Linked DNA regions of Macaca mulatta. The protein of the gene in region 1 purifies or fractionates together with the protein of each later gene. This does not show direct contact. Links are inferred from orthologs where the notes say so. Each region holds a gene or a part of one and is shown in the gene's direction. Other genes may lie near its edges.

Evidence for each region.
Region 2: the proteins of TESK1 (region 1) and RABEPK purify together in Homo sapiens (affinity purification with mass spectrometry; 3 studies listed by BioGRID and IntAct, with this or other methods). This does not show direct contact. The link is inferred for Macaca mulatta from reciprocal best matches to the Homo sapiens genes TESK1 and RABEPK.

Annotation. Positions count from the first base shown.
Region 1 is NC_133420.1:64,090,122-64,094,065, reverse strand, and holds the start of TESK1 (dual specificity testis-specific protein kinase 1), read left to right. Parts: upstream 1-1,144; 5' UTR 1,145-1,357; exon of another isoform or gene 1,358-1,527; coding exon of another isoform or gene 1,528-1,746; intron 1,747-1,891; coding exon of another isoform or gene 1,892-1,918; coding exon 1,919-2,013; intron 2,014-2,144; coding exon 2,145-2,193; intron 2,194-2,746; coding exon 2,747-2,893; intron 2,894-3,236; coding exon 3,237-3,319; intron 3,320-3,491; coding exon 3,492-3,582; intron 3,583-3,837; coding exon 3,838-3,921; intron 3,922-3,944. UniProt on the Homo sapiens protein: Dual specificity protein kinase activity catalyzing autophosphorylation and phosphorylation of exogenous substrates on both serine/threonine and tyrosine residues.
Region 2 is NC_133420.1:22,549,178-22,552,677, reverse strand, and holds part of RABEPK (rab9 effector protein with kelch motifs), read left to right. Parts: intron 1-1,892; coding exon 1,893-2,054; intron 2,055-3,500. UniProt on the Homo sapiens protein: Rab9 effector required for endosome to trans-Golgi network (TGN) transport.

The DNA of each region.
Region 1 (3,944 bases):
ACCGTTTGCCCCGGAGTGGCCTGCCGGGATCGCGTGTCACCACCCAACCCTGGCGATGATTGGCTATTTTGCCGAGGCCGGAGGCGGAGCCAGCGGCAGAACCGGAAGTACCTGGTACGGCAAGTGCACAGAGTCCGCAGACTGCATGCGCACCCGGGCACCGCGCCGACTTAAAGAGGCCAGTTGCAGCCCCTCCTCTGGCCTGAGGGGACAGACCGTGTTCCTACGTGGAGGGCGGAACCCTCACACTGAGGAGGGCTGGGTCACACTGAGGGGAGGAGTCACCTTGAGAGGAGGGGTCACAATGACTTAGTGGAGTCACTCGGAGGTGGGGTCTCACTGCGTGGGAGGAACACAGAGCAAGGGGGTGCAGCACTGAGGGGTTCTGACACACACTGACGGTGGCAGTGCCACACTGGGGAAAAGTGCTCCCGAAAGGGAGGTGTCTCCGAGAGAAAGCGTTCTTTGAGGGGGTGGGATCTTGCGGAAGGAGGGGCTTCCCTGCAGGTGGTGGCTTCTCTCTTAGAGTCATTTGGACAAAGTAATAAGAGGGAGATCCCGGCTGGGTAGTCACAGGGCGGAGGACCTGGACTCTCTTCTTTATTGGGAGACGGCAGGATGAAGTGAGGAGTCGGAGCTAAGCTGGGTATGGGCCGGTCAAAGGCTCCCTATAGCCCCGAGGTATCACAACCTCCCGTGAAGGTAGAAGGTGTTAGGGAGGCCAGAGGTTCAAGGTGTCGGAGTCGAAGAGACCTGGGAAATGGGCAGGCTGGGCCGCGGCGCAGGCCAGGAAGGTGGACAGGTTGCTGGGCTGCCTCAGATTGCGACTGGGCCTGAGGGGCCTACGTTTCTGCCCCATTGGTCCCTGGAGCCCAAGAATCCGGCAGGTTTCTGAGCCCGACCCACAACGGACAGTCCCAGGGAGGACAGGGGACTCCCTGGGCAGCTAAGCTTCGCATGCGCACCATCAGCCCTTAATTCCCTTTCGTTATTCAAGTTCAGGCCTGAGCTTATTTGACCCGGGCGGCCCAGGGCCTCGCGGCCGGAGAGCGGGGAGGCGGGGGTGCGCACCTGAGGGGGCGTGGCCGCTGCCGGGAGGCCGGGCTGGAAGGAGTTAAGCGGAGGCCCGGCCCAGCCCCGCCCCCGGCAGGCCGCGGAGCCTGAGCCCCGGCGGCTAAGCGGAGCAGCCGCCGCCCGCCCGCCCGCCCGCCCGCCTCCGCCCGCGGCGAGCTAGCCCGCCGGCGCCCGGGAGCGCTGCCGCCACCGTCGCCGCCACCGTCACCGCCACTGCCCGGTCCAGGCCCAAGCCCAGGCCTACGCAGAGCGGAGCGGCGCGGCGTCCACCCGGGCCCAGCTAGCCGGCGCGGCGGGGGCGGGTCCAGGATCTTCGGCTGATCTTCATTCTCAAGGCGGGAGCGGGAGTCCGGGCGCCCAGGATCTGGCTGGGCCCGCGCCCATGGCAAGCGCGGCCTGCCCGGGCCCCGGGGACCCTGCCATGTGAGGCAGGCCCGGGCTGGGGGCCCGGCCATGGCCGGGGAACGGCCCCCACTGCGGGGCCCTGGGCCCGGGCCTGGAGAGGTGCCGGGGGAGGGGCCCCCGGGGCCGGGGGGCGCGGGCGGAGGCCCGGGCCGCGGCCGCCCCTCCTCCTACCGGGCTCTCCGCAGCGCCGTGTCTAGCCTGGCCCGTGTGGACGATTTTCACTGCGCGGAGAAGATCGGGGCCGGCTTCTTCTCTGAGGTCTACAAGGTAGGACCGGCCGAGAGGGCAGAGGGGCGGGACCGAGCCTTCAACCAGAGGCTGCAACTAGGGGGCCGGGAGTGCGGGGAAGAGGGTCCAGACTCGGGCGACCCTCCCGACCTGCCCGACCCTCGCCGGCCGCCCCCGCCCCCAGGTTCGGCACCGACAGTCAGGGCAAGTCATGGTGCTGAAGATGAACAAGCTCCCCAGTAACCGGGGCAACACACTACGAGAAGTGCAACTGATGAACCGGCTCAGGCACCCCAACATCCTAAGGTAAGCGGCCCCAGTCTCTGGGCAGCTTGCTGGGCGGGAGAGAAAAGGAAAGATCCCGCGGGAAACGTGGAACTGAGGAGGAGCTGAGGCCCTTAACAGCCTACCCTTCTATCTTCCCCCTTCTCTGGCAGGTTCATGGGGGTCTGTGTGCACCAGGGACAGCTGCACGCTCTTACAGAGGTGAGGATAGACCAGGAAGGAGGGATCCCCACCCCCCCTTCACCCCCAAGGATAAAGGCAGTGAACAGGCCTGGTGGATCTACGGAGGACTAGTGAGAGGCAACAGGATCTCCTCCCAGGGGAGGCTTTCCTGAACTTCCCTTTAGGCAAACCACGTATAAAAGGCCTCAGCTGGTCTTATTCTCTGTATCCCCTAGAATAGTGCTGTCCAATAGAATTTTCTTCAGTGATGGAAATGTTCTCTATCTGTGCTGTCCTATACAGTAGCCACTAGCCACATGTGGTTAAATTTAAATTATGTTAATTGTTTAGATTTTTTTTGTGGGTCAACTTGATTAAATTTTAAAAATTTTAAATTATTTAAGTTGTTGCACATGGCTAATGGCTACTGAGTTGAACAGGGCAACCCTAGAACATGGATGGAGGGTCCTACAGCACAATCTTACCCCTCTGACCTCTGTGATCCTCCGGAGTGTCCCCTAGCTTATAAGTGGGGGACCTAGAATACAGACTGAAGTCTGACATCCATTCCCATTCTCCTCCTATGCACCAGTATATGAATGGGGGGACCTTGGAACAGCTGCTCAGCTCCCCTGAACCCCTATCCTGGCCTGTCAGGCTCCGCCTGGCCCTGGACATTGCCCGAGGCCTGCGGTACCTGCACTCCAAAGGTGTATTTCACCGGGACCTTACATCCAAGGTAGGCTAGTGGGGTGGGTGGAGGCATGAAAGAGGGTTTGAGACTATTAGGTTGTAACTGTCCTGTGGACATTGGAATGTGGATAACAGATATATTAGGATGTTGGAGTGGCGAGGCATTGGAGAATATTGGGGGACCAGGGTGAGGGGAGTGCTCGGAGGGACTGAATAGCACCCTGTGTTTGGAGTGTTGGGTGATGTTGCGATATTGAAGTGCCTTGAAAAACTGGGAGAGCAGAGAGGGTTGGGGTTATGCTGGAGTGACAGGGCTTTGGGTTATACATTGGGAGGCCAGAGGGCAGAAGGTGATGAGTGCTTGGGGATACTATGTGTGTGTGTGTCAGAACTGTCTAGTCCGACGGGAAGATCGAGGCTTCACCGCTGTCGTGGGTGACTTCGGGCTGGCTGAAAAGATTCCTGTGTATAGGTGAGGTGAATGTCCCTGTTCCCCCCAAATCTCCCAGAGTGCCCCTATCTGATGTCCCCAGAGCCCCAGCGATGTTTCCCTTGGGGAGAGAAGGGAGTTCACCTCATCCCCTTTTCCCTGGGGGAGATGCCTGAGTAGGATGTTTCTGACCACCCTGCCCCTGCCCCTGCAGGGAGGGGGCAAGAAAGGAGCCATTGGCTGTGGTGGGCTCCCCATACTGGATGGCTCCAGAGGTGTTACGGGGTGAGCTGTATGATGAGAAGGTGAGACATCAACCCTTCAGATCCCCAAGGCCTTCCGAGACCCTTGAGGTTTTCTCATAAAGCCCCATCCATCCCCAAAACAACCCTACCAGATCTTCAGGAGTCCCCAAGATCCCTTTGCCCCTCACAGGCACCCTTCCAACACATGAAAACTGTCAAGATCCCCCACCCTCAACCAAATTCAGCTATATTCTGTCAAAATTCTGAAATGAAAACTGTTAATTCTTCCACAACACTGTTATCTCTGACCCCCAGGCTGATGTCTTTGCCTTCGGAATTGTCCTCTGTGAGCTCATCGCCCGAGTACCTGCAGACCCTGACTACCTACCACGCACTGAGGTGAATGTCTCCAGGTTTGCAAA
Region 2 (3,500 bases), about 42 Mb from region 1:
ATTTGGGGTGTTGCCCACCTAATGCATTTGTTGAGTATTGCCCGATAAAAAAATAAAAATTAAAAAAAAATCTATTTGTACAATAGTTGGTCAGAGTTCAGGAACTAGGACCAAATTTTCTTACATGTCAAGTATTTAAATTCCTTCAGCATATTTAGACAGTATGTTATCTTTCAATTTGATTTATTTGTTTGGGTATGTATTTCCTGTCGTCCCTCCTCCTCCCTGCCCTCCCTCTATGGAACATAAGTGCTTCGAAGGGAAGAGTTTGTTTATTGTTGAATATTCAGGGTACAGAACACTGTCAGAAATAGAGTAGACACGGCGGGGCATGGTGGCTCACGCCTGTAATCCCAACACTTTGGGAGGATGAGGAGGGCAGATCACAAGGTCAGGAGTTCCAGACCAGCCTGACCAACATACTGAAACCCCGTCTCTACTAAAAATACAAAAAAAAAAAAAAAAAAATTAGCTGGGCGTGGTGGCAGGTGCCTGTAGTCCCAGCTACTTGGGAGGCTGAGGCAGGAGAATCGCTTGAACCTGGGAGGTGGAGGTTGCAGTAAGCCGAGATCGCGCCACTGCACTCCAGCCTGGGTGACAGAGTGAGACTCCGTCTCAAAACAAAAAAGAAGAAGAAAGAGATAGACACTTGGCAGACCATTTGGCTAATTGTGAAGCCAATTTGCTTGGAGGAGTAGCAGTATGATGTGGTGGTTAAGGGCACAGATGAGGGTCTCTGCTTTGCTAGGCACTAACTATGTCCTTGGACAAGTGACTTAATCTCTCTCTGCCTCTGTGTTCTGTCACGTTGGATAATAACAGTTTCTGCCCTTGTTAATTTGTCAAGGATTTAAATAAACTCAGTATCTGGCACATAATTAATGCTCAATAATTGTGGTAGTTGGTGTAGTTAAGGTTTGGCAAAGGGAAATCAGTTCTAGAACCCTGGCCTTTCGATTTTCAACAGTGGTATCCATTGAAATAAAATACAGTGAGAATTTGGAAAGCTTCTGTCAAAGAGGGTGATTTTATTTTATTTTTATTTTTATTTATTTATTTTTTTTTTTTTGAGACGGAGTCTCGCTCTGTCGCCCAGGCTGGAGTGCAGTGGCGCGATCTCGGCTCACTGCAAGCTCCGCCTCCCGGGTTCACGCCATTCTCCTGCCTCAGCCTCCCGAGTAGCTGGGACTACAGGCGCCCACAACCGCGCCCGGCTAATTTTTTGTATTTTTAGTAGAGACGGGGTTTCACCGTGGTCTCGATCTCCTGACCTTGTGATCCGCCCGCCTCGGCCTCCCAAAGTGCTGGGATTACAGGTGTGAGCCACCGCGCCCGGCCTATTTTATTTTATTTTATGTTATTTTATTTTATTTTATTTTTTTGAGACAGAGTCTCGCTCTGTTGCCGAGGCTGGAGTGCAGTGGTGCAATCTCAGTTCAGTGCAACCGCCGCCTCCTGGGTTCAAGCGATTCTCCTGCCTCAACCTCCTGTGGTGCTGGGATTACAGGTCCCCACTACCATGCCTGGCTAATTTTAGTAGAGATGGGGTTTCACCCGATGTTGGCCAGGCTGGTCTCGAACTCCTGACCTCAAGTGATCCGCCTGCCCTGGCCTCCCAAAGTGCTGGGATTACAGGCAAGAGCCACTGCACCCAGCCTGACCCCATTCTTGTACTTACGGCTTTTAAATCTTGGGGATTTTGGACCGTCTTGGCAAATCCTAAGTATCATCTTCATTCTTCCTTGATGTTTGTGAGTATGAGATCCCTGCCCAAAACTAGGCTGTCCCCACTTGGGATTGGAGTCTGAAAACTGACTTCACTCAGCCCCAGAGTCAAGGTCAGAAGCCCCTCAACCTCGGTATTTTAAGTGCCTTCATTCTCTCTGGCCCAGAAACCAGGATGTGGACCACGCCAGAAGTGACCAGCCCCCCACCATCCCCAAGAACATTCCACACATCATCCGCAGCCATTGGAAACCAGCTGTATGTCTTTGGGGGCGGAGAGAGAGGTGCCCAGCCTGTGCAGGACACGAACCTGCACGTGTTTGACGCAAGTATGGACTGGTGGGCACCTTGGGGCTGGTCAGGGCCATCCCAGTCTACAAATTACCTAATGTAGGAAGCAGAAGTTAAAAAAGGAAGGCCTGCTGGGCGCGGTGGCTCACACCTGTAATCCCAGCACTTTGGGAGGCCGAGGCGGGCAGATCACAAGGTCAGGAGATCGAGGCCACGGTGAAACCCCGTCTCTACTAAAAATACAAAAAATTAGCCGGGGGCAGTGGCGGGCGCCTGTAGTCCCAGCTACTTGGGAGGCTGAGGCAGGAGAATGGCAGGAACCCGGGAGGCGGAGCTTGCAGTGAGCTGAGATCGCGCCACTGCGCTCCAGCCAGGGGGACAGAGCGGGACTCCGTCTCAAAAAAAAAAAGGAAAGCCTGTTTCACTTCTAGACTTCTTTGTTATATCTCTTACCTGGTATGTTTTTCCCACAGCAAAATTGGCATTTAAAAAGAGATAATGAGGCCTGGTGCCCCAGAGCTTTGGGAGGCTGAGGCAAGTGGATCACTTAAGGTCAGGAGTTCGAGAACAGCCTGGCCAACATACCTGGTCTCTACTAAAAATTAAAAAAGTATCCGGGCATGATGGCACGCACCTGTAATCCCAGTTACTGAGGAGGCTGAGGCAGGAGAATCGCTTAAACCCAGGAGGAGGAGGTTTCAGTGAGCCAAGATGGGGCCACTGCACTCAGCCTGAGTAACATACTCTGTCTCAATAAATAAATAAATAAATAAATAAATAAATAAATAAATAAATAAAACTAAAAAGATAGGCCGGGCACGGTGGCTCACGCCTGTAATCCCAGCACTTTGGGACGCCGTGGCGGGAGGATCACCTGAGATCAGGAGTTTGAAACCAGCCTAGCCATCATGGCAAAACCCCGTCTCTACTAAAAATACAAAAACTGTCTGGGTGCAGCGGTGGGTGCCTGTAATCCCAGCTACTCGGGAGGCTGAGTCAAGAGAATCACTTGAACTCGGGAGGCGGAGATGGCAGTGAGCCAAGATCGTACCAGATCGTACCACTGGACTCCAAGTGAGCCAAGATCGTACCACTGCACTCCAGCCTGGGTGACGGAGCGAGACTCTGTCTCAAAAAAAAAAAAAAAAAAAAAGAGGGCCGGGCGCGGTGGCTCAAGCCTGTAATCCCAGCACTTTGGGAGGCCGAGACGGGCGGATCACGAGGTCAGGAGATCGAGACCATCCTGGCTAACACGGTGAAACCCCGTCTCTACTAAAAAACACAAAAAACTAGCCGGGCGCGGTGGCGGGCGCCTGTAGTCCCAACTACTCGGGAGGCTGAGGCAGGAGAATGGCGTGAACCCGGGAGGCGGAGCTTGCAGTGAGCTGAGATCCGGCCACTGCACTCCAGCCTGGGCGGCAGAGCGAGACTCCGTCTCAAAAAAAAAAAAAAAAAAAAAAGAAAAAGAAAAAGAACAGAGATAA